Linked DNA regions of Lonchura striata. The protein of the gene in region 3 binds, or shares a complex with, the protein of the main gene of each other region. Links are inferred from orthologs where the notes say so. Each region holds a gene or a part of one and is shown on either strand. Other genes may lie near its edges.

What was found.
Region 1: the proteins of ARF1 (region 3) and AP1B1 are in contact, whole or in part, in a cryo-EM structure (PDB 7R4H), measured with the Homo sapiens proteins. The link is inferred for Lonchura striata from reciprocal best matches to the Homo sapiens genes ARF1 and AP1B1. Residues at the interface, in NP_001019397.1 of Homo sapiens: Glu17, Met18, Tyr35, Ile46, Thr48, Ile49, Gly50, Phe51, Asn52, Val53, Glu54, Thr64, Trp66, Lys73, Leu77, Arg79, His80, Tyr81, Gln83, Asn84; in NP_001118.3 of Homo sapiens: Asn23, Asp25, Pro52, Asp53, Val55, Asn56, Met58, Gln59, Met83, Ile85, Met86, Ala87, Val88, Asn89, Thr90, Val92, Lys93, Tyr121.
Region 2: the proteins of ARF1 (region 3) and AP3B1 are in contact, whole or in part, in a cryo-EM structure (PDB 9C5B), measured with the Homo sapiens proteins. The link is inferred for Lonchura striata from reciprocal best matches to the Homo sapiens genes ARF1 and AP3B1. Residues at the interface, in NP_001019397.1 of Homo sapiens: Glu17, Arg19, Tyr35, Ile46, Pro47, Thr48, Ile49, Gly50, Phe51, Asn52, Val53, Glu54, Lys73, Ile74, Leu77, His80, Tyr81, Asn84; in NP_003655.3 of Homo sapiens: Glu52, Asn54, Pro81, Val84, Lys85, Val87, Ala88, Asp111, Leu112, Leu114, Leu115, Ile117, Ser118, Thr119, Gln121, Arg122.

What each region holds. Positions count from the first base shown.
Region 1 is NC_134620.1:2,977,227-2,984,879, reverse strand, and holds the start of AP1B1 (AP-1 complex subunit beta-1), read right to left. Parts: upstream 3,091-7,653; 5' UTR 3,029-3,090; intron 1-3,028. Other genes in the region: NEFH (neurofilament heavy polypeptide), read left to right, coding at 6,431-7,223. UniProt on the Homo sapiens protein: Subunit of clathrin-associated adaptor protein complex 1 that plays a role in protein sorting in the late-Golgi/trans-Golgi network (TGN) and/or endosomes.
Region 2 is NC_134642.1:12,762,895-12,770,348, reverse strand, and holds the start of AP3B1 (AP-3 complex subunit beta-1), read right to left. Parts: upstream 3,076-7,454; 5' UTR 3,003-3,075; coding exon 2,830-3,002; intron 1-2,829. UniProt on the Homo sapiens protein: Subunit of non-clathrin- and clathrin-associated adaptor protein complex 3 (AP-3) that plays a role in protein sorting in the late-Golgi/trans-Golgi network (TGN) and/or endosomes.
Region 3 is NC_134603.1:154,872,824-154,880,628, forward strand, and holds the start of ARF1 (ADP-ribosylation factor 1), read right to left. Parts: upstream 3,039-7,805; 5' UTR 2,906-3,038; intron 1-2,905. UniProt on the Homo sapiens protein: Small GTPase involved in protein trafficking between different compartments. Modulates vesicle budding and uncoating within the Golgi complex. In its GTP-bound form, triggers the recruitment of coatomer proteins to the Golgi membrane.

The DNA.
Region 1 (7,653 bases), on a different chromosome or scaffold from region 3:
AAACAGAAAGAACAAAAAACTTAGAGCTAAGTTGTAGTTACAAAGTCTGAAAGGAGAGAAGTTATAATAGTACAGAAAGCAAGGGCATGAAACAATAACCTAAGTCTTAAGTTTGGCTAAGATAAACCTTCAGACTACAAGAAAATATGCTTAGCAAGATAGTAAAAGGTTTTAGACTTAATAATAATGTACTGTGTGTTATCAATAGAAAGAAGACAAGCAAACACTGTGTGAAACAAGTATACGTGTACTTTCAGTAATTAGCTAGAATAATTATCTATAAACTTTAGCAATATGCTATTAGCCAGAAGTTTTTTAAATATTCAGCAACAAAGAAATCATCAGCTGCTACTAGCTGTATATAAGCTTTACCATCTTCCTATTGTCTCAACCACATAATAAAGCTAATACTACAAATAAAACTCATTAAATGTACCCCAGCAGTCCCATCGCGATCATGAATGAAAAATAAAAATAAAACAAGCACACCAACACAGCTCTGAGCACATCCCTGCCCCATGGACAGACCCCAGGAGCTGGCACAAGCACCAGCAAGGGAGAGAAACACCCCAGGGTGCCAGAAGAGAGCCAGAGGCTGAGGATACACAACCCAACAGCTCCAGAGCCTCCTGCTGACCCCAGTTCTGTCCCTCCTTACAGCAGTGCTTCCCATCCTACAGCCACACCTCCTGTGCCTGTAGGATGGGAAACATCCTATCCCTGTGCAAATCCCACAGCTCCCACCCCTGTGCAAATCCCACAGCTCCCATCCCTGTGCAAATCCCACAGCTCCCACCCCTGTGCAAATCCCACATCCCACAGCTCCCACCCCTGTGCACATCCCACAGCTCCCATCCCTCTGCAAATCCCACAGCTCCCACCCCTGTGCAAATCCCACAGCTCCCATCCCTGTGTGCTCATCCCATATCCCACAGCTCCCATCCCTGTGTGCTCATCCCATATCCCACAGCTCCCAGCCCTGGGCTCATCCCACCTCTGCCAGACCACCACAAACCCTCCCAGCAGCCCCACACACCTTCCCAGTGAGATCTTTTCCCCCTCTCTGGCCTAACTGGAGCCAGTCTTTGCTCCAGCTCGGCCTTGCAGCAGCTCAGGGCTGTGACTCTGCTGCATCCCAGCAGGACCATCCCCATCCTCTCACCAATCTTGTTTCTGACCAACCCATGGGCATTCCAAAAGGCTCCATCCCCACCAAGCAAGGGATAACTCAGATAACTCAGGGGTAGGAGCCAAACTCACCATGCCATCAGCATGGTGCCCAAAGCAAACCCAAAAAATCCTTGGCAGATCCAAAGCAGTGGCACCAGCAAGCAATACATCCCATCAACTAATAACTGGGGAATAAACTCAAGGAAAAAGCAAAAAGGACAATGCTGAGGTGTCCCCTGCAGCACACACTGCCAGGATCCCACAGCCACAGAGCCCAAAGCACCGTGCTCTGAGAGCTGGGGGCGTTTTTAATCACCTTGAACAGGGATGGCACCCACAGGGGCTCCCCAAACTCCAGCTGAGCATCCTCAGGGACACCAAGGACTTTGTCCTGGCCACAGCATCAGGTTCCCGTGGCGGAGGGGATGTTCTCCTCCTGGGAAAGGAAGGTTCTGCAGGGTGGGCACCTCCTGCCTTGGAATTCCCAGCCTGGCTTGATCCAAGCAAGGCCCAACACCTCTGGAAAGCCCCTTGGGGTGCCAAAGCCTGTTCAGCCTGGCAGTCTGACCCCACAAATGGGTGTGGGAGCCACAAACCACATCAGTCCAACTGCTCATCCAAGGCTTAGCCCATTTTCTGTCACCCCAGGAGAGAGAAGACACAAAACCCCTCCTGAGTCCCAGTGTTGCTGGGGAAGGGACCCCTGACAGGTGCCAAAACTCCACACAAAACACCTGCAACAACAACAGCAACACCTCCAACACGGCTCCTTCAGGCTGGAGCTGTCTCACAGCTCCTTTTAATCCACTTTGGGGCTTTTCCCCCCAAAATCTCCATGGAGGAGGCAGCGAGCACAGGATATCAGCCCAGCTGCCTCCCCGTCTGCTCCACGCCCAGTTCCCAGCATATTCCAGGCAGAGCCAAGACCTTTCTCTACAGGTGTGCCACATCCTGAGGGGGTGAAGGGCTCACCCCGTGTCCCCCAGCCCGTTCAGGGGTCCTGTCCCCAGCAAGTGGCCAGGACATGGTGCCCGGGGTGGTCCGTGCAGGACGGGCCGGAGAGCAGCGCTGGGACATGGAGCTGCTGCGGGGACAGGCGGGACACGGGACACAGCCCGGGGCAGGCAGCGGGCACGGGGGACCCCCGTGTGCCCCAGCCGGGCCAGGGACCAAGGGGACACAGCCCAGACTGGGGAGGGGACCATGGGGACACAGCCCAGACTGGGGAGGGGACCAGGGACCAAGGGGACACAGCCCAGACTGGGGAGGGGACCATGGGGACACAGCCCAGACTGGGGAGGGGACCATGGGGACACAGCCTGGAGTGATGAGGGGACCATGGGGACACAGCCCGGAGTGGGGAGGGGACCATGGGGACACAGCCCAGACTGGGGAGGGGACCAAGGGGACACAGCCCGGGCTGGGGAGGGGACCAAGGGGACACAGCCCGGAGTGGGGAGGGGACCAAGGGGACACAGCCCAGACTGGGGAGGGGACCATGGGGACACAGCCCGGAGTGGGGAGGGGACATTGCGGACAGAGTTCAGGACGCGGGGTCAGGACGCAGACACGGCCCGGGGCGAGGCGGAGGCCGAGCCGGGGCTCACAGCGGGGTCACAGCGGGACACCGCCGGTCCCGGAGGGGCACCGGGGGGCACAGCTCAGGTCGGGGGTCGGGAGGGGCCCGGGCCCCGCGGGGAGCCCGTCCCGGGGCCGCACGGGCAGAGCTCCGGGGAGGAGCCCGGGGCAGGAGCGGCTGCGGGGCCCGGCTCTGCCCCGGCCCGTACCCGCTCTGCCCGGCCCGGCCCGGCCCGTACCCGGCCCGTACCCGCTCTGCCCGGCCCGGCGCGGTCCGTACCTGCTCCGGCCGCTCCGTACCCGCCGCCGCCGCCGGAACTGAGGAGCGGGGAGCGCTTCCGGGGCGGGGCGGGGCCACGGCGGGAGGGCGGGGCGGGAATGGGAACCGGGATGGGAACCGGGATGGGGACAGGGATGGGACAGGGATGGGGACAGGGATGGGACAGGGATGGGGACGGGGAATGGGAACCGGGATGGGAACAGGGATGGGGACAGGGATGGGACAGGGATGGGGACAGGGATGGGACAGGGAATGGGGACAGGGAATGGGAACCGGGATGGGAACAGGGATGGGGACAGGGATGGGGAACAGGGATGGGGACAGGGAATGGGGACAGGGATGGGGACGGGGAATGGGAACCGGGATGGGAACAGGGAATGGGAACAGAGATGGGAACAGGGAATGGGAACCGGGATGGGACAGAGAATGGGGACACGGAACGGGGACAGGGATGGGGACAGGGATGGGGACAGGGATGGGGACAGGGATGGGAAGAGGGAATGGGGACAGGGATGGGGACAGGGATGGGGACAGGGATGGGAACAGGGAATGGGGACAGGGAACGGGGACAGGGATGGGGACAGGGAATGGGGACAGGGATGGGGACAGGACGGGGACAGGGACGGGGACAGGGATGGGGACAGGGAATGGGAACCGGGATGGGGACAGCAATCGGGATCAGGGAATGGGGACAGGGAACGGAACAGGGATGGGAAAAGGGAATGGGACAGGGAATGGGACAGGGATGGGGACAGGGACAGGGACAGGGATGGGGAACAGGGATGGGGACAGGGAATGGGACAGGGATGGGGACAGGGACAGGGATGGGGAACAGGGATGGGGACAGCAATCGGGAACAGGGAATGGGGACGGGGAACAGGAACAGGGATGGGGAACAGGGAACGGGGACAGGGATGGGGACAGGGGAGGGGAACAGGGAGTAGGGACGGGGAAAGGGAATAGGGGAGGGGGACAGGGAACAGGGACAGGCAGTAGGGATAGGGATATGGGATGAGGACATGGGACGGGTACATGGGATGGGAATGGGGGATAGGGGATGGAGACATGGGATGGGGATAAGGGACAGGGACATGGCATGAGGATATGGGACAGGGACATGGGATGGGGACAGGAATTGGGACAGAGGATGGGGTCATGGGATGAGGACATGGATGGGGACACAGGATAGGGACAGGGTTAGAGACAGGATGGAGACATGGGGTGGGAACACGGGATGGAGCAGAGACATACGGGGGACAGGGATTGGGATGGACACGGGGAAAAGGGCTTGGATACAGGGCTTGGAACGGGGTCACACGGGGTGTGGGGGACAGGGTGACACCCTCCACAGGCTGTGTCCCCCTGCTCCGCCGGGTGTCCCCAGGGCAGGAAGGGCCCTCTGGGGCAGTCCCCGTGGCCGGCCAGCGGCAGTGCCCGCGGGAGCAGGGCGGGCTCGGGGGCGCCCAGGGCCGGCTGTCCCGTGTCCCCAGCGCCTCCCGGGGATGTGTCCCCAGCGGCCCGGCCGAGCCCGCTCCTCCTGGCTGCTCCCGGCCCTGCCTCCATGGCTTCCGTGGGATGAGGGACGGCGTGGGACCTGCTCCCACCCGGGACAGCAGGGCTGCTCCGGGAGCCAGGGAGCGTGTGCTGATTGGCTGGGATCTGTGCTCCTGCATGCTGATTGGCTGGGATCTATGGACCCGTGTGCTGATTGGCTGGGATCTAGGGACCCCTGTGCTGATTCACTGGGATCTGTGCTCCTGCAGGCTGATTGGCTGGGATCTATGGACCCGTGTGCTGATTGGCTGGGATCTGTGCTCCTGCATGCTGATTGGCTGGGATATATGGACTTGCATGCTGATTGGCTGGGAATCTGTGCTCCTGTGTGCTGATTGGCTGGGATCTAAGGACCCGTGTGCTGATTCACTGGGATCTGTGCTCCTGCCTGCTGATTGGCTGGGGTGATGTCTATGGACCTGGTTGCTGATTGGCTAGGATCTAGGGACTTATGTGTTGATTGGCTGGCTCTCTAAGCCTGGCTGCTGATTGGCTGAGCTGTCAGTACCTGCCTACATCTTGATGTCTGTGTGTGCTGATTGGCTGGGCAGCAGCTATGCTGATTGGCTGGGTGGCCTGTGACTGCTGATTGGCCACTGGCCCATATGGGCTGACTGGCCGAGGTGTCTGTGAGTGCTGATTGGCTGGATGGTACCCAAGTGCTGATTGGTTGAATGATACCCGAGTGCTGATTGGCTGGATGGTACCCAAGTGCTGATTGGCTGGATGGCACCCGAGTGCTGATTGGCTGGGTGGTACCCGAGTGCTGATTGGTTGAATGATACCCGAGTGCTGATTGGTTGGGTGGCCCGTGCATGGCCCGGTCCCAAGGGCAGGTTTTGGGGGTCACATCCCCCCCACCCCATCCCTGTCTCCATCCCCTTCCCCATCCCCATCCCGGCCGGGATGGCAGCCATGAGCCTCCCATCCCTCCCTGCATCCCGCAGGGTGTCCCCTGTCCCCTCAGGGGACCCTCCCGGCAGCCCCCCCAGCCAGCAGGAGCCCACCTCCCCCAGCCCCAGTCAGTGCCTGACCCCGGGGGGACACCAAGTGACGGCCACACCCCAGGGTCGCTGCCCCACCCGTGGAGGAGCTGTCTGCGCCACCCGGGGGTCCCCCCTTTCCCCTTCACACCGGGGTGGGTTCCTGCTCTGTACTGGGTGGTCCCAGCTCCCTCCCCAGGGTGCCGTTCTCTATTCGTGGGGACCCCACTCTATTCCCAGGTGTTCCTCTCTCTGCCCGGGGGGTTCACGGTCACACCAGGAGGTCCCCACTCCCTCTCCAGGGGGTCCTGGCCCTGTCCTCCAGGGTCCCACCCTCCATTCCTCTTATCCCGCTCTCTGCTCGGAGGGTCCCTTCTCTCTTCAGGGCACTCCTCTTCCCACGAGGTCTTCACTCTGTCCTGGGGTGTCCCTGCTCCTTTCCCGGGGCTCCCATTCTTTATTCCCAGTGCTCCTGCTCCCTGCCCGGGGGATGTGTTCTCTCTTGAGCAGCTCCCTCCTCCCTTCCCAGGGCTCCCACTCTCTATTCCCGGGGGTCACGCTGTCTGCCCGGGGGCACTCTCCGCTCCCTTCCCGGTGGTGTTTCCTGCTCCCGGGATCCCGCTGTGCCCGGTGTCCCCGTTCTCCCGCCGGGGGACAATCCGCTCCTTTCTGCTGCGGCTCCCGCTCCCCACCTGGGCGTGGCAGCCGGGTCCCCCCGCACCGCGGGGCTGCGGCGGCGGCGCGGGGCGGTGCCGGTGCCGGTGCCGGTGCCCACCCCCGCTGCCGGTGGCGGGGCGGAGCGGCCGCCCCGAGCGCTATAAAAGCGGGCGGCCGCGCCGGTGCCGCAGCGAGGGCGGGGGTCGCCATGAGCCTGATGCTGGAGACGCTGCTGGGCCCCCCGGGGGGGCTCCGCAAGGAGCCGGGCCGCGCTGCCCCGCGCTCCGCCGCCTCCAGCGGCTTCTACTCGTGGCCGGCCCCGGCGGTGGGACGGGCGCGGGGCGCGGGGGGCGGCGGCGGCAGCGCGGCCGCGTCCTCCACCGAGAGCCTGGACTCGCTGAACGGCGAACCGCGGGCGCGCAACGAGAAGGAGCTGCTGCAGGTGCTGAACGACCGCTTCGCCGGCTACATCGAGCGGGTGCGGGCGCTGGAGCAGCAGAACCGGGCGCTGGCGGCCGAGGCGGCGGCGCTGCGGCAGCAGCAGGCGGGGCGCTCGGCCATGGGCGAGCTGTACGCGCGGGAGCTGCGGGACATGCGGGGCACCGTGCTGCGCCTGGGCGCCGAGAAGGGCCAGCTGCGGCTGGAGCGGGCGCGCCTGGCCGAGGACGTGGCGGCGCTGCGGGGGAGGCTGGAGGACGAGGCTCGGCAGCGCTCGGAGCTGGAGGCGGCGGCCCGCGGGCTGGCGCAGCGCTCGGCGCAGGAGGAGCGGGCGCGGGCGCCGCTGGAGGAGCGAGCCCGGGCGCTGCGGGAGGAGGCGGAGCAGCTGCGGCGGCAGCACCGCGCCGAGGTGGGAGCGCTGCTGCGCGGGGCGCGCCCCGAGCTGCCCGCCGAGCCGCCCGCCTCGCTGCGCCCCGGCGTCACCGCCGCGCTCCGCGACCTGCGCGCACAGCTGGAGGGCACGGCGGCCCGCAGCACCCTGCAGGCCGAGGAGTGGTTCCGCGGTGAGTGCCGGGCTGCGGCCGCCGGACAGCCTCCCCGGGGCAGCCCGGGCTGCCGCGCTCCGGGATGGGGGTGGAGCAAAGGGAGCGAGGGAGGCCCGAGGGATGCGGGGACCCCCCCCCCGCTCTCTGTGTCGTGTTAGAGTGCCCGACCCCGGGAGGTGCAGGGACCCCTCCCACCTCTACCGTGCTCCTGGAGGGTGTTGGGATACCCAGCCCCATATACTGTGCTCGGGGAGGGCGTTAGTGTCCCCCAACCCCAGCAGTGTGCGGGGACCTCCCGTACCCCCAGCACCCTTCAGGGTGACCCCATCCCTGCCACCAGAGCCCCAGTGCCTGCGCTGCCCGACTCCCCTCTGCCCCGCAGTGAGTTTCGAGGAGGGTTCCAGGATCACTGGCCCGGCCCCCCGCAAGTTTTTGGGGTGCCGGGCCC
Region 2 (7,454 bases), on a different chromosome or scaffold from region 3:
TATTGATGATCAGTCATCATATGGTATGGAATATCCCCTTGGTCCGGGAATATCCCCCTGGGCCACAAGTCCTGGCTACACATCCTTCAAGGTTTTGCCCAACCCCAGGCTGCTAGGAAAGGGGGATATTGGAGAGACAGTCTTGACTCCTGTGTGAGCCCTGCTCAGCAATAGCTACAACACTGTTAGCAACATCTTTCTCACTACCAATTCAAAGCACAGCATGATGAAGACTGCTGTGAGGGAAAATAATTCCATCTCAGCCAGACCAAATATATCCAGACAAGACTTCAAAAGTGAATGCAGAACCTGGATATATTCTGATTTATCACTGCCCTCATAATTTCATATGGGAAGAAGAAAAGGATGTAAGCCAAAGCTGGAATCAGTTACAAGAAAAAAATACCGTCATTCATTCAGTCATAAACTTGTAAATAGTATTTTTCCTACTTGCAACAGAGTGACTCTAACAAAAATTTCCTCATGTTTTCAGAACCAGTACTGCATCTGCTTTGTGCCTCCCCACAAGAAATCCACATTGCCCACATTTCAGTCTACATCCACATAAGAACTGCAACTAAATGTAAAAAAACCCAACATAGCAATCACCACATTTCCTACTAACCTAAGGCACATAAAATTCATATCTACATGCAACTTAAAATTTAAGTCTAACTCTTTTTTCAAAATCAAGCATTTCATGAAACAATCGGAGCAACCTATTACAGATTCTTTATACTGTCAATATTTGCTTCACTTAATAATTATTATTTTAAAAAAAGGAAAAAGGAAGAAAAAAGGAAGTATTCCATTTCCTTGCCTGCTTTAGTACCACTTCTCAAATATCACTGGTAACTCCCACTTGTGTCTGCACCACACTCAAAGGTTTTTACTATCTTTAGCTACTCCTGGACACATTCAAAGATGTATAAGGTCAGTCTTCTATTGCTACATTTGTTTGGTTGTGTACTTTGATCATTTAAATTGTATGTCCCATTCAGTTTCGTCCTGCAGTTTTGCATACTGCTAAGATCAGTTCAGTAAGTCTCCAGCTGGATACCTTCCTCATGGCCAGTCATAATGTACAGTGTACCTTCTTGTAACACCACCCAAGATTGACAGGTCTGTTAAAAGTAACTAATGCTGTAATTTCACACATGTTTTCCTATTGTCCACATTCCTGTTCCTGGGTAAAGTCACACCTTTCATTACATTAAACTCTACATTTTTCTGATTTGACTTGAAGATGCTTGTATTCATGTCTATATCATCACACATGTTTTAGTCACTCCATATTTTGCCCTCAGATCTATATCCTTATTTTTTATATCAGAAATAAAGTATTTGTTGGTCTGGGGGCTGTACATAAAATAACATTAATAATTTCAGCATTTTAACTTTCAATCCCTCTGTATAGTTCCATTTTAAATTAACATTTTAGGAAGCATAGGTTTGATTTAATTTTTGGCAGCTCTCTATTCCCATCACTCTTGGCCACAGGAACAGCTGATTTTGCTGACCATTCCTACTCACCTATTCCTCATAGGATACTGAGTAAGTCTCAGTTCTTTTTGATCAGCTTGTAGTACTTTGCCTGACACTTTGCTCTAGCTGGATACAGAAACTAGAAACCTCTAATCCCTTCTGCTTAAGTCATAATTCTTCCCTGTGCAAGAATCTGTATGACATGGTAAGAAAAGTTACATAGCAAAAGATAGGACTTGATTTAGAAAGTTGCTTTTAGACCGATGCTCTTGCTTCCAGTTTCCTACTGTTGCTGCAAAATGTGAAATACGTAAAAATTTTCTTAAGAAAGAATGTTCTTTGATGTTTCAACTTTGTATACTTTCAAGCCTGATCAACAACAAATGAGATTCAATCTATGAAATGGATAGCAGCTAACCAACAAGTTCGCAGTGAACTCTGTGTGTTAGAAAAACAAATGACTTGCCTGTAGAACTGCCTTGTTAAGGTTTAGGGCTTGACATATTTCAACTATGTCAGACCCCAGGTGAGGTTAGCAAAGCTTCTGAAGAAGGATGTACCCCTGAGGGTAGACCAAGAATGCAAATTTGATGGGCCACAAGGACGTTTTGCAGGACCATCAAGACAAAGAGGAAACTAATAAAAACAACTCAGCAACAATGTGGAATCAAGTCCAATTGGGTAAAAGGCAGGGGGAGACTGTGTCCACAGCCCACCGACTTAAAAAATCACTGACCGAGGATAAGAGAAAGGCTGAGCATGTGGACCAGTTATCATGAGAAGCGAGAGTTTCATTAACTAGTGGAAGGTAGAATACTAATTAGCAGCCAAACAAACAAAAAAAGAAGAATTTGTCAACAAAGCGGAAAATGTAGAAATTAGAATTTGGGCTTGAGGATCAAGTAACAAAAAATGGAGGAAGTTACACAGAACAAGATCCAAGTACATGCTGAAAACCGTCTCCCAGAATGTAATAAACAACAACAAAAAATAAAAAGGCTATTTTAAGATGTGAAGACAGAAGTGTTTATTGATGAGCTCTACTTCTAAATGCTTATAGAAAATATTCTATCATACATTTCAAATGAAAACATTTTGAACTGTTAGCTGGAAAGACAAAAAACACAGAAATTTATATATGAAGACCTGTTTTCAGCCAGCCTTGTTTCCATAAAAGCAAAGCAGCAGGGGAAAAAATAAAGAAAGAAAAATACGAATTAAACAAAAAGTTCCTGATGAATCCACTTGGAAATCAAATCTTACTTGAAGAGATTATTTGTTTAGGTTTTAAAAAATCTTTTCTAGCAAATTATAATCCATCATTAGCAAATATTAGATACTTACAAAGTAAAATATTGCTTCATACATTCACATGGATCACCAGCAGCAGCAAGCCTTTTTTCTTCTACAGTTAGATATGGTTTCAGTGTAACATCAAAGTTTTTCCCTTTAAGAGCAGACTTAATACTGCAAGACACCTCAATTATTTTGCCCAGCATTGTGGAGTTTTGTTCCATTCTTTTAAGTGAAGTATGTAAAAAACCAATTAAAAAAATTACTGAACTCAACCAAGGTTGCCTGCCAAGAGTGAGGTCTACTCTAAAAAAAAAGAAAATCTTACAAAGTAACAGGATGCACACTCCCTTGCTGTTTGAACTTCCAGAAACAAATACCATATGCAGATTTCAAAGGTCATTTCCTTCCAAAAACAACTCTTATCAGAGCCTCCATGAACAATGGGAAAAGCAAATGCATTTCAGTCTTTTGTAATACAGTTTACTGTACAGTACAAGTATTTTCATCTTTTGATCATTACTTTTTAAGAAATTTCAATATTTTAATAAAATCCCTCTAAGTAGAAATAAATGTAAATGTAAGCTTTGCAGTCACACTAGAGTTCATATTTCTATATTCATTAGTTATGCTGAGGTGGCAGTTCTTCAATACACAATGCTAGGCAAATACTTTATCACTTCCTTCCACTTGCCAGGGGCTCAGAAAAATGCAAGCAACCTTCAGCTGCATCAATACCTTTGCCTCTCTGGTAAAATTTTGAGAGACTCTACCCTTACAGAGTTAGGTACATATTGTAGATGACTGAAATATAAACTTTATTACTTCAGGAGCAACACCAGGTTTAAATAAGCCTAATCTGATAGTTGACAAATTATGTGGAACTATATGAAGCAGAAAAGTAATGGTCCCAACAACAGCAGATGAAAAAATACCAAACTTTTGGCAGAGTATAGATATATAGTCTCAGCCATTTTCCCTAAAAGTAAGAAGAGGTAAAGTGACTCTCCAAGAGCAAAAAAAAAACCCAGAAAAACAAGAAGATTCCCACCTGTCTGCCCAATGATGTAGTCTAAGAACTCACCAAAACTTCACTTGAGTTCCCAAGCCATAATCTAGTGTCTTAACTCTACTTCAAGATAGGCCCACCATTCTCAAAAGTTGCAAGATGAAAGCACTGTGATAGACAACAATTAGAAATATACTCATACGACATATTAAGCATGTGCTATGAAATATGATCTTTAGTACTTTTATGGTATCTACCATAAGGATATAGTCAACAAGTCAATTATTAATGTATTAAAAAATCAGTTCCCAGCTGCCTTTGTAATCTTTAGCACCACAGGCTTGTATTCCTAAGTATTACAATTTGAAAGCTAAAATAGTATAAATTAGAAACACGGACTCTTCACCTAACTCTGCATGCTGATTAAGGCAAACAGCATCCAAAGAAAAATTCTGAATATGCCATACTACTGTCAGCACACACTTAGTCACTAAAACTCACGTCTTGCTGAGGTTAAGACTAACTATAGATCACTGAAGTTTAAACAGCTATGCAATAAATCTGGACCTCTGTCTCAGTTATTTCATCTCTCCATAGGAACTATGACAAACTTCCAGTTATACTAAAATATTAATCCAGAATCTGTGGCACGTCATTAGGTACTGCATCAACATGTTCTAAACAACTATTATTAAGAAAACATTTGCTCCACTCTGCTAAAATACACATTTATTTTCTCAGTTTTAGCAACACTGTAAGATTAAATCCACAGATTTTCAAGTTTTGCCACAGTTCTAACATGCCAGTTACTGGAAGAAGTCACCCACTAATCATAAGTCTTCACTGTAATTAAGCCAAAGATTAATGAGTATCAAAACTGCAACTGAAGCTCAACTAGCAATGCAACAATAACCTCGGGAACAGCTGTAATCCTCTCAAGGAAAGGAGAGTGAATTCTAAACAGAAGATCTTCACATATAAGGACAGCACTGTAAGGTAAGGTACAGGAATGGTAAACAAATTCACCACTGGGAGGAAGCAACCTTCATCAGTTTCAGTGTTATGGAATAAAGCCCTTATAGAACAGAAGTTTCAGAAGTCTCACTCATTTGAGTTTTAACAATGCATTTCTTGTTTCAAGTTTTCCATCCACTGCCTAATTTCAGTTACACAGTATCAATTGCACTGTTCTTGCATTCAAGAAGAAATACTTTTAACCACAGCATATTTTTTTTTTTTTTTTTTGGCTTTCAAGATAAAATTTAAAATATTGTGCATGAGTTTAAAGCAGAAAACACACATTTACAAAGCAGTGTAACCTTTGCTTCTGGCACCTGAGTAGCAACAAACTCCTAGGGAACGTCCCATGTTTCCTGAAAAAAATTTGGTTTTTTTCATTGCATTTTACTGGCACTGCAAATTGCTTAAAATAAATTGGTTTATTCTAGGTCATGCTACTGTGTAAACGCTAAACAAGTTTGAATTTAACATTTAAAGAGGAACTGCAAATTGATTTCAGACCCATAAAACACAGACGCTTAACTGGCAGCAAATACATGCTGCAATTTGAGTTAATTTTGTTGATTTAGGGTTTTCGTCTAGCAGGAAATTAAGAAATCTGAGTTTCACTGCGTTTTGGTCTATGCCATAAACTGTTTGAATGACATCTTGTGGTGCTGTTCAGTACTACCATCCTTTTTCAATATAACACTATATTTATTTCTAATTCACAACACAGAATTCAACTACTACTTCAAGGAAGCCTTGAATCATATGGCTGTAAGTGTAGCTGTTCTATGGTTTAAAGAGAAATTGAGATAAGAATTTATTTCTTTTTCAGCCATCTCTAATTTTTCAATCTGAAAATGAAGCACATTATGCAAAAAGCAAACTAAATAGTATTAAAGAATAGACTAGAGATGTGAGGAAAACCAGGATAACTGTAGTATCCTGTAAGGATGAGAGCCACAGAGAACAAAACCAGAAATAGTGACCAGAAGTAGAATTTAACTCATTTGATTGTTACTTTGCCTCTAATTTCTCAAAGCACTTGCAGTCCGGATGTTCAGTTGCACTCTTTCCCTCTCATTGAGGAAACAGGAAAGTGTAAAGTTAAAAACTAAATAAAGCATCTCCCATTTCTCTGTCATGAACAGATACTACCTGAGCAACACTTGAGCAACTCAGCACATCAACACCTGTTAAATTGCTGCTATCACCATCATCAATGCAGATATTGAAATTACCTATATTTCAAAAGCTCTAACCAGATGGCAGCTAGTAGGACAAAGTAGTTTGAAATCCCTTCTGGATCAGACTGTGATTCGAGCTAAGATTATCTGTTGTCAGTAAAGTAGTTAAAGATTCTACTTCACCCAGCAACAAGAAATGTTGTCTGACAGGATGAAAATATTCAGTCTTGCAATTGCACTGCATATAACCATTTCTGATAGTACCAACACCACCAATACAGAAGGGAAACTTCTGCCAGAGTGGAATCTTCCTCAGTGGAAGACAATTTTCTGAAGGCTGAAAGAGGGTCATCAGAAGTGGTGCCGCCACTTAAATGGTTGTGCCAACTTAGAGCCTTTCTCGAGGCTAGTGCTCAGAATTTGCAGACATTTGTAGACCACTTTGATAGTTGTGAAGGGATTATAAGAAGGTGAGAAGCAGCATCACACCAGCTTTCCCAAAAATGTTGAGAAAAGGCTTCTTTGAAAGATACCATCACAGAAGTTGTGTTGTCAGAACCTACTCAGTGCTTGAATATTTACATATATGTCCAAGTTTCAGCAACACTGTTTAACAGCATTACAATGCTGCTCATCTTCTGGCAGATTGCGAGAACCGTTCTTGTTTCCTCCAAGTACCAAAATATCAGGGGATGGCAGAAACAAGAACAGCCTTCAAAAAATGCAGAACTAAAAACATGTGGAATTTCAGCCTTGTAACAGCTGTAGATATGGCTATTTAATACCATTCAGGATGCAGATCAAAGCAAATGACTACGGCAAATATATGACAATGCAGTAAATAGGCAGAAACCACACTGACGGCCTCAAAACTGTAAAACTTGCCTTTCTGAGCAAATAAAAAAGCCACAAAAATATAGTAACAACATTACAGAGAGCTACAGCAAATCAACAGTTCATTGCTTGCATCCTCATATTTGCCAAGTGCATAGCAATAAGAAAATATTCACTGTGTGGTACTTCCCATCAGATCTGAGAGTTTTCAGCTGGAGAAGTATTCTGCAATAGTACGCCTCCATTTGTACACTGCATTTAGTTCCTATCCTTGTACTGACCAGAGGGTTCAGATTTTATCTTGTACACTCATCAGTTCATCCAAACCATTCATCTTTGCTGGGCTGTATACCCTACCAAAACTGGCATATAACCATATTGGTGGGCATAGGGCCATTTTAACAGATGGAGAAAGAAAGTAGTTGTGCCAATGAGCTAGTGGATGCATCAAGTTTGAAAATTAGAGCTGGAGTCTCCTCCAAGAATTTCACAAATGGCAATCTATGTACAATCTCTCCATGACTGGTTGAACAGAATATGCCAAGACAAAACTAGATCAATTTAAGACTCCAAGAACACCTCTGGCAGCTGTTGAAATCAAGTTTTTAGCTCCAATAGGTTTGGAAAAGTCTTCTGCACAG
Region 3 (7,805 bases):
AAAAATAAAAACAAGTATCTGGTATGAAAAAAGGACAGGCTGACAGGTGAAAAGCACAGAGGGAGCTGCATCCATGCCCTCCCTGCTCAGGAAATATTGTGGTGCAAATAATGCAGTTGTGAACCCCAAGAATGGCCTGTGGCTTTCTGCTCACCAGTTCAGCACTGGGTACAGTGGTGTGAGAACTGAGGGCTACAAAGAATTTATCTTCAGATAAGCGGTGTACATTTGGGGTGTTTTTTGTTTTTGAGGCTGAATTGTTCCTGAGCTCAAAATCTTCAATTTTAAGCCAAATATCCTGTTATTCATTCCTGGGAACTGGGCACTAAGTCAACATTTACACTTCTAGTAGAAATGGCAAGAACTCACACGAGAACACCATCCAGCAATGAAACTGGCATTTGGTTTAGGGGAAATGTCAAGGCAGAACCCCTGAGTTGTGAGATAGAGGAGCAGTGGGCGAATAAGAGCTGTGTGAGACACGAGGGTTTTATCAGAACTGAAACATCAGCAGAAGCTCCACCACAGCCCCTCCGACGTCTGCATGCGTTAAAAATAAGGAATAAAATCGGATACTCGCAAGCAGAAAGAAAAAAATGCTGAATTACACAGAAAAAACAGCTGCTGTAGTAGGAAGCTGATTCTGAACTTCTTTACTCATCAGCTAAAGAAAGGGAATGGCTGAGGACAGCGTCGGCTCTAACACAAGCCCTGTAGCATTCCAGGAGCAGAACTTCCAAGAGATTTCTAAAAACAGAATCAGAACTATTCCTTTTCAGATAAAGTTAGCTCATATTCACCAAATTTATCCACTGTAAAGCAAGCTGGATGTTTGCGAAGGCTGTTGAAATCCCTAAGAATTCTTGCTTGAAAGCCCATCTTTAAAAATAAGAGGTTGTTTTAGAAATAAAACCCTCTGGGATGTGTAAAGGTGGTTCTTTAAACATCACCACTGCCATTTCAGCTGGAATCCTGGGTTTTGAGCTTTTCCTCCTTGCACCAATTCATGTCACCAAAGGCTTGCTTAGCTGATAATTATCTGTAGAAACGTTCCTGCTCGAAGCAGCCGGAGCACAGCAGAGTTTGGTGAATTCCCAGGAGCAGAATCCAGCCCCGACTCCCACACACGCTTGGTTTGCCTCGAAAAGCTGCGCCTGGTCCTCCCCCCACTTGGTCAGCATGACTAACACTCACAGGGAACTCGGTGCACAGCTCCTGCCAGGCCCTTCCACATTCCAGCTATTTCACAACCGAGGAAATGCTCCGAGAGACCCATCCGAGCTCCTCGGACCATTTACACCGAGGGGTTCGACTTTAAACAGGATTTACATGACAAACACAAAGCCGTTCTGAGGGGAGGGCGGCTCTGCTTGAGCCATTTCAATTCCTGATGCTCCATCACAGGAAGCACCAACAAACTTGGCAAAGCTGCGGGGTTGGAGCTGCAGAGGTTCAATCGAGGTGAGTTTCCTCACCCTTTCACCCAATGCAATTATTCCAACAGGGAGAGCAGCCCAACAGGGCCTCCAGCACTGCGGATATGTTTGTAGCAGAGAAAAATCAGTGGCATCAAACCACCCCCAAAAACTTTCCTTTCGGAGAACTCCTTTATCCATAAGGCTGTGCTCCTATTTAATTCCATTACAAACCCCATGAATAAAAGCAAAATAGCAATCCTCCACTTCAGCCACACTTCCCTTTTTTTTCCCCCCTAGAAGCGCTCCAAATCAGCAGCAAAAATAGCAATAAAGACTGCTGAATGACCTTGGAAAAATCCACTTTGCCTCGGTTTCTCTGCCTGGAAAATAAGGTCAATGGAATACCCTGCAAAGGGGTGCTGCGAGCCTCGCAAGACAAAGCTCAAAGTATTACATAAATACTTGGAATTTTAGTTATTGACAAAGCTACAATTTCAACACCAGACCTCTAGTCGCGACTCTAATCAACCTGTGGAATTTGCTTTGGCAGGAGCAGAGCAGCAAAGCCACAAACAAGGTCAATGTCAAACACGACAACATTTGGGGCAGTTTTATGGCCCGGCAGAGTCTCGGTCTCGCTGTGCTGGGGCAGAGCCGGGCTATCACTTCATCACACCGAGCTTTATCAGCCCCGAAGTATCACGTTCGCCTCGCACCACGGAGTATTTTCAGACAGAATATAATATCCTCCCACCGGGAGCTGCTCCGCCAAGGAAAGCTGATCTCCCACACCACCAAACCCAAGGCGATAGGCGGCAAAAAAGAATTGTTTGCTCCACGATAAAGCTCTGCCCAGCAAGAAAAAACACCAACTCAGCAGCCAAGGGCTTAGGGAGAAACAACCTCTGCCCTGCGAGCTCCATCCCAACCTCATTCCCGCACCCCACGAGGGTTTTGGGGGGGAGAGGAGGAGGAGGAGGAGGAAATGCCTCTCCTTGCTCGGAGCCGTCCGCGGGCGGGGCAGAGGCCGGAATGAGCGAGTTTGGGGAAGGGAGGACAAACCCATCCCGTCTAATGCCATCGCTAGAGGGAGCGGAGCGGGGCCTTGTGCAGCTGCTGCCGAGCTGCGGCGATTCCCCTCGGCCAGCCCTGCCTCTCCCTCCCCATCCCACCCACGAGCGGGGAAGCCAAAGGCCCGACCCCCCCACAAAGACGTGGAAAGGGCGGACGGGTGGAGCAGCGCCGCTCCCGGGGAGCTCTGGGTCTGTGGGAGAAAAGGAATGAGTAGGGATAAGGTGGCGTGAGAGAAGGAATTAAAAGCAATGGGAAGGAACGAGCAGGAAAGCACCGCCCGGCCCCGCTGCCTCAGCGCCAAGGCCGCGGGATGCGGGGCGGGGGCGCGGCGCGGCGAGCCGGAGAGGGGGCGGGGGGGGGAAGGAAACGAAAAGGCTGGAAAGGAGGGAAGAAGAAGGTGTCGGCAAACGCACCGGCGCGGTCGGGAGGCGCGGGCCGTGGGTCTGGCAGCGCTCGGAGGGTCCCGCTCGGAGCCCGCTGGCCGCGATCCGCCCTGGAGCACAAGATGGCGGCGCGCTGCGGCCACGTCAGTGCCCGCCCCGCGCGCGGCGCCACGGGCAGGCCGGGCGCGAGCGGGGGGCGTGGCCTGCGCCGGGGGGGCGTGGCCACGGCGGGGCGCCGCAGGGCCGGCGCGAGGGGGCGTGGCGTAGAGGCGCAATGGGCGTGGCCACGGCGGGAGCGAGGCTCTGTGGGGATGGGGGCGTGGCCTGGGAGTGGGCGTGGTCATGGTGGGAGTGACGGTATCAGGAGGGGGCGGGGCCTGGGTTGGCCACGCCCACTCCGCAGCGCGGGGCCGGGATCCCCCGGGAATGGGATGGGATAACGGGATAACGGGGTGATGGGATAACGGGATAACGGGATAACGGGGTGATGGGATAACGGGATACCGGGATAACGGGGTGATGGGATAACGGGGTGATGGGATAACGGGATAACGGGATAACGGGGTGATGGGATAACGGGATAACGGGGTGATGGGATAACGGGGTGATGGGATAACGGGATAACGGGGTGATGGGATAACGGGATAACGAGGTAACGGGGTGATGGGATAACGGGATGACGGGATAACGGGATGATAACAGGGTGGGACGGGGCTCGTGGGGACCGAGCCTGCCCTTCCCGCTCAGCTCCCCTTTCCCTGCACTGTGCCCTCCCCTTTCCGTGCGCCGTTCTCCTCCCGCGCCGTTCCCGCTTCCCTTCACGGTTCTTTTCCCGTTCCCCGTTCCCCTTTCCCTGCAGCGTTCCTTCACCTTCTCTACACCATTCCTTCCCTCTTCCCTGCACTGTTCCCCCTTCCCTTCATAGTTCCCCCTTTCCCTGCTCTGTTCCCGCTTCCCTTTACCATTCCTTACCTGTTCCCTGCACTTCTAATCATTCCCCCTTTCTCTTCACCATTTCCTTTTTCCTGCACCATTCCCCCTTTCCCTGCACCATTCCCCATTTTCCCTGAACCATTCCCCCTTTTTCCTGGACCCCTTTTCCCTGCACCATTCCCCCTTTCCCTACATCATTTCCATTTCCCTGCACCATTCCCCCTTTCCCTGCACCATTCCCCATTTTCCTGCACCATTCCCTTTTCCCTGCACCATTCCCCTTTTCCCTGCACCATTCCCCTTTTCCCTGCACCATTCCCCTTTCCCTGCACCATTCCCTTTTTCCTGCACCATTGCCTTTTTCCCTGCACCATTCCCCCTTTTCCCTGCACCATTCCCTTTTCCCTGCACCATTCCCCCTCTTTCCTGGACCCCTTTTCCCTGCACTATTCCCCCTTTCCCTGCACTATTCCCCCTTTCCCTGCACCATTCCCTTTTCCCTGTACCATTCCCCCTTTCTCTGCACCGTTCCCTTTTTCCTGTACCATTTCCCATTTTCTTGCACCATTCCCCCTTTCCCTACACCATTCCCCCTTTCCCTACATCATTCCCTTTTCCCTGCACCATTCCCTTTTCCCTGTACCATTTCCCTTTTTCCTGCACCATTCCCCTTTTCCCTGCACCATTTCCCCTTTCCCTTCACCATTCCCCCTTTCCCTGCACCATTCCCTTTTCCCTGCACCATTCCCCCTTTTCCCTGCACCATTCCCCCTTTTCCCTGCACCATTCCCCTTTCCCTTCACCATTCCCTCTTCCCTGCACCATTCCCTTTTCCCTGCATCATTCCCCTTTCCCTTCACCATTCCCTTTTCCCTGCACCATTTCCCCTTTCCCTGCACTATTCCCTTTTCCCTGCACCATTCCCTTTCCCCTGCACCATTCCCTTTTTCCTGCACCATTCCCCATTCCCAAAGCAGCCCACGATCCTCTCTGAGCTCCAGCTTCTCTGTACCTCAGTTTCCCCCACAGAGGGAAAATTCCTTTAAATTTTTTTTACCTCAGCAAATAATTTTCCTAATTTAAACTAGTATTAATTCGTTTATTACACAGCACAGAGGGAACAGGTCAGCACAGCAGGATCTTAACTCCACGTGGAAATAGAATAATGCACATGGTCCCAAAGCTCAAGAGGTGGGTGTAGAAACAACTGTGCACAAAAAAATTCAGGCTTATCTCCTTTCTGTTTTGGGTTAACTTTGAGATAAATCGAGGTCGTGTGCTGTCCCAGGCTAAATACTAAATACTTCCTTTGTTAACGAGAAGTTTTGAAACAGAGCAGGAAGCCACCAAAACTGCTTATTTCTAGATTTCCCCTCGATGCTCATAGGAGATAAGTACCTCAAAGTCCTCCATCCTCTGTTGGAATCACCCAGCATTACACAGAGAAGGCAGACAGGCAGATGGGCGTGAGCCCAAAAGCTTCTTTTCCTAAAATAATTGGGTCACACGCAAAAGAAATGGCAGCAACAGGGCTGAGAAGTGCCAGGAGGGAGTCTGGGCAGGAGGGAAGATCATCCCTGTGCTTCTTCCAGGGAGGCACCACCCCCATGCAGAGCAGGTTTAAATTCATATTATTATTTTGCTTAAGAAAGCCCCTAAATTGCATTAAATCTCCCCAGACGGTCACTCAGCAGCAGCAGCACTGATGGGCTAAGAAAGTGATGGCAAGGACACGCTGAAAATTCAAATTAATCCTGTTTTCCTGCACTGTGGAAGCTGGGCTGGCTGACATGGGGGGTTTCAGGGAGAGGAGGATGCTCCAGGGGACAGATTGCTGCCCAGGCATGGACAGCTCCCACTGGGATCACAGATGTCCCTGTCCCCTGCCTTTGTGACCTGTTTGGGACACAGCAGCCTCCAGGACCTGGTTTGAAAGAGTCTGAGTTGAACCAAAAATACCAAGTGAGATTTAAAGAGAATAAAGAGACTTTGCACTTGCTCAAGGCTTCTGGGGAGAATCTGCCTCTGTCCTTGCTGGATATTTTGGGTGAGCCCTGGGGCAGGAGCTGAGCTGGGTGTTTCTGTGTGTCTGTGACAACAGGAAGGTGCTTTTTCAGCAGAAAAAACCTGAATTTCTCCCCATCCCCAAATCCCCTCCTGGCCCCAGCTGAGCCAAGCAGCCCTTGTTTCACAGCTCTGTCTCCATGCCCGGGCAGTGAACCAGATCAGGGCTGCTCTGAGTTAAAAATAACCCTCCTCTCCTTTTCTTTTCCTTTTTTTTCTTTGGCTTTATTTTTAACCCAGAGCAGCTCCTCGTTTTAGCTGCCTCAGGGGAGAAGATGCTCAACCCCACCACCCCACCAGGGTGAAAATCCAGCTGCAGGGCGAATCAGAGGAGGTTATTTCATTATTATCACCCATGACACATCACCAGGGAGATCTGATTTCGTTATTCTCATCCTCTGGAGACCTGAGGGGACGCTGAGCTCGAGGTCTCGTCCCTCTGATTCATTGCTGTGATGCAGCTGGAACCCTTTGCCCTGTGACTCACAGCATTCGTGGAGAGAAGAAAGAAGCCTCCGTTTCTTTTTCAGCTGAGGGAGCAGAAATGCCCCTTTGCTTCCTTCCATCCTAAGAAAAACTCATGTGGGACAAGGACAAAACAGGAAGGGATCTCTCAGGGCAGCTCAGCTCATTTTCTGGGTGCTCCCGGGGTTCCAGAAAACTCCCTGGCTTTTCCTGGATGGCCCCTTTGGAGCTGGAGACTTTTCCTCCCTGCTGGGAGCCTCTGATGACAAATCTGCAGCTGAAATACACCCTGTTCTCACTGCCCTTTTGGATTAAAAAAAAAAAAAAAAAAAAAAAAAAAAAAAAAAAAAGGTGTTTGTGCAAGGCGATTTCTGAGGTTATAAAAATATCACCTGGAGTCTCAAAGCGCTTCCCAAGCCCTGCTTTTCCTTCTGCACCTTCCCCGAGGGAAAAACACCACAGGCTGGGTTTGCTCTTGCTTCAGGGCCCCCCAAAATAATCTTTTCTCCCAAGTGTGGGCAAGTTGTCTTTATTGAGAAGATTCTTGATGAGAACATTTGGTATAATGAGGTGGTGGAGACCCTTGAGCAGGCGGCAGCGATGTCCAACCATTAAATCCCTCCTGGTGGTGATGGAAAATTAATTTTGGGGTGGACACCCACCCCAAAAGAGTGGAAGGGGCTGAAGGACACTGGGACCCATCACCGCTCTGTTTTCTGCTGCCCTGGAGCTCCTGGCTGCTGTCAGGTTGAGGATTTCTCACCTCTGAGTCTCTCACCTGAAGGTGAGAATTGCAATTACGAACAGGAGCTGAGAAATTACAACACCCTCCGCCCCTCCAGCAATTTGCTATGTTGCCTACCAAAAATAGCCATGATTCCTGGGATTTCTGGTCCTGGGGTCACCTCCAGATGGGCTTGGGCTGTTGAAAAGACGACAGTTCTAATGTTGCTGCTCGTGTTTCACCATCCTGGACGGAAAAGGAAGGTGGAAAGAGGAGAAAAGCAAAAAAACTCTACACAGCTGCATGGAGAGGCAGAAAAATCAAGAGTATTCAGATCCAGAGCTGTTATTTTGCTGTGGTTTCTCCTCTCAGAGCTGATTTAGGTGGCAGAAGGATCCACTCAGCTGGAGCACCTTTGAGAGCCCCTTGGCTGTGGCGCGGAGGGCTGGAGAGCAGAGGGAGCAGATCAGCTCCGTGCTCCCAACACCGACTCCCAGGGATGTTGGGAAATTGCCTCACCTCTCTTGGCCTCATTTTTTCCCCTCCTTCTCTTGGAAGCAGCTGCACGTCATGACTCGGTGGCGTGCAGGGGAACCTGGCAGTGAAGATGTTCAACCTCAGCACTGCTGACTGCTGGCACCTCGGGAGGAAGCTGCAGCAGCAGTGGGGTGATGCCTCAGCTTTTGGCTTTCATGTTTTTCATATTCTGTGCTGCTTTAGTGTGTAATTCTGGGCTTCGTATCA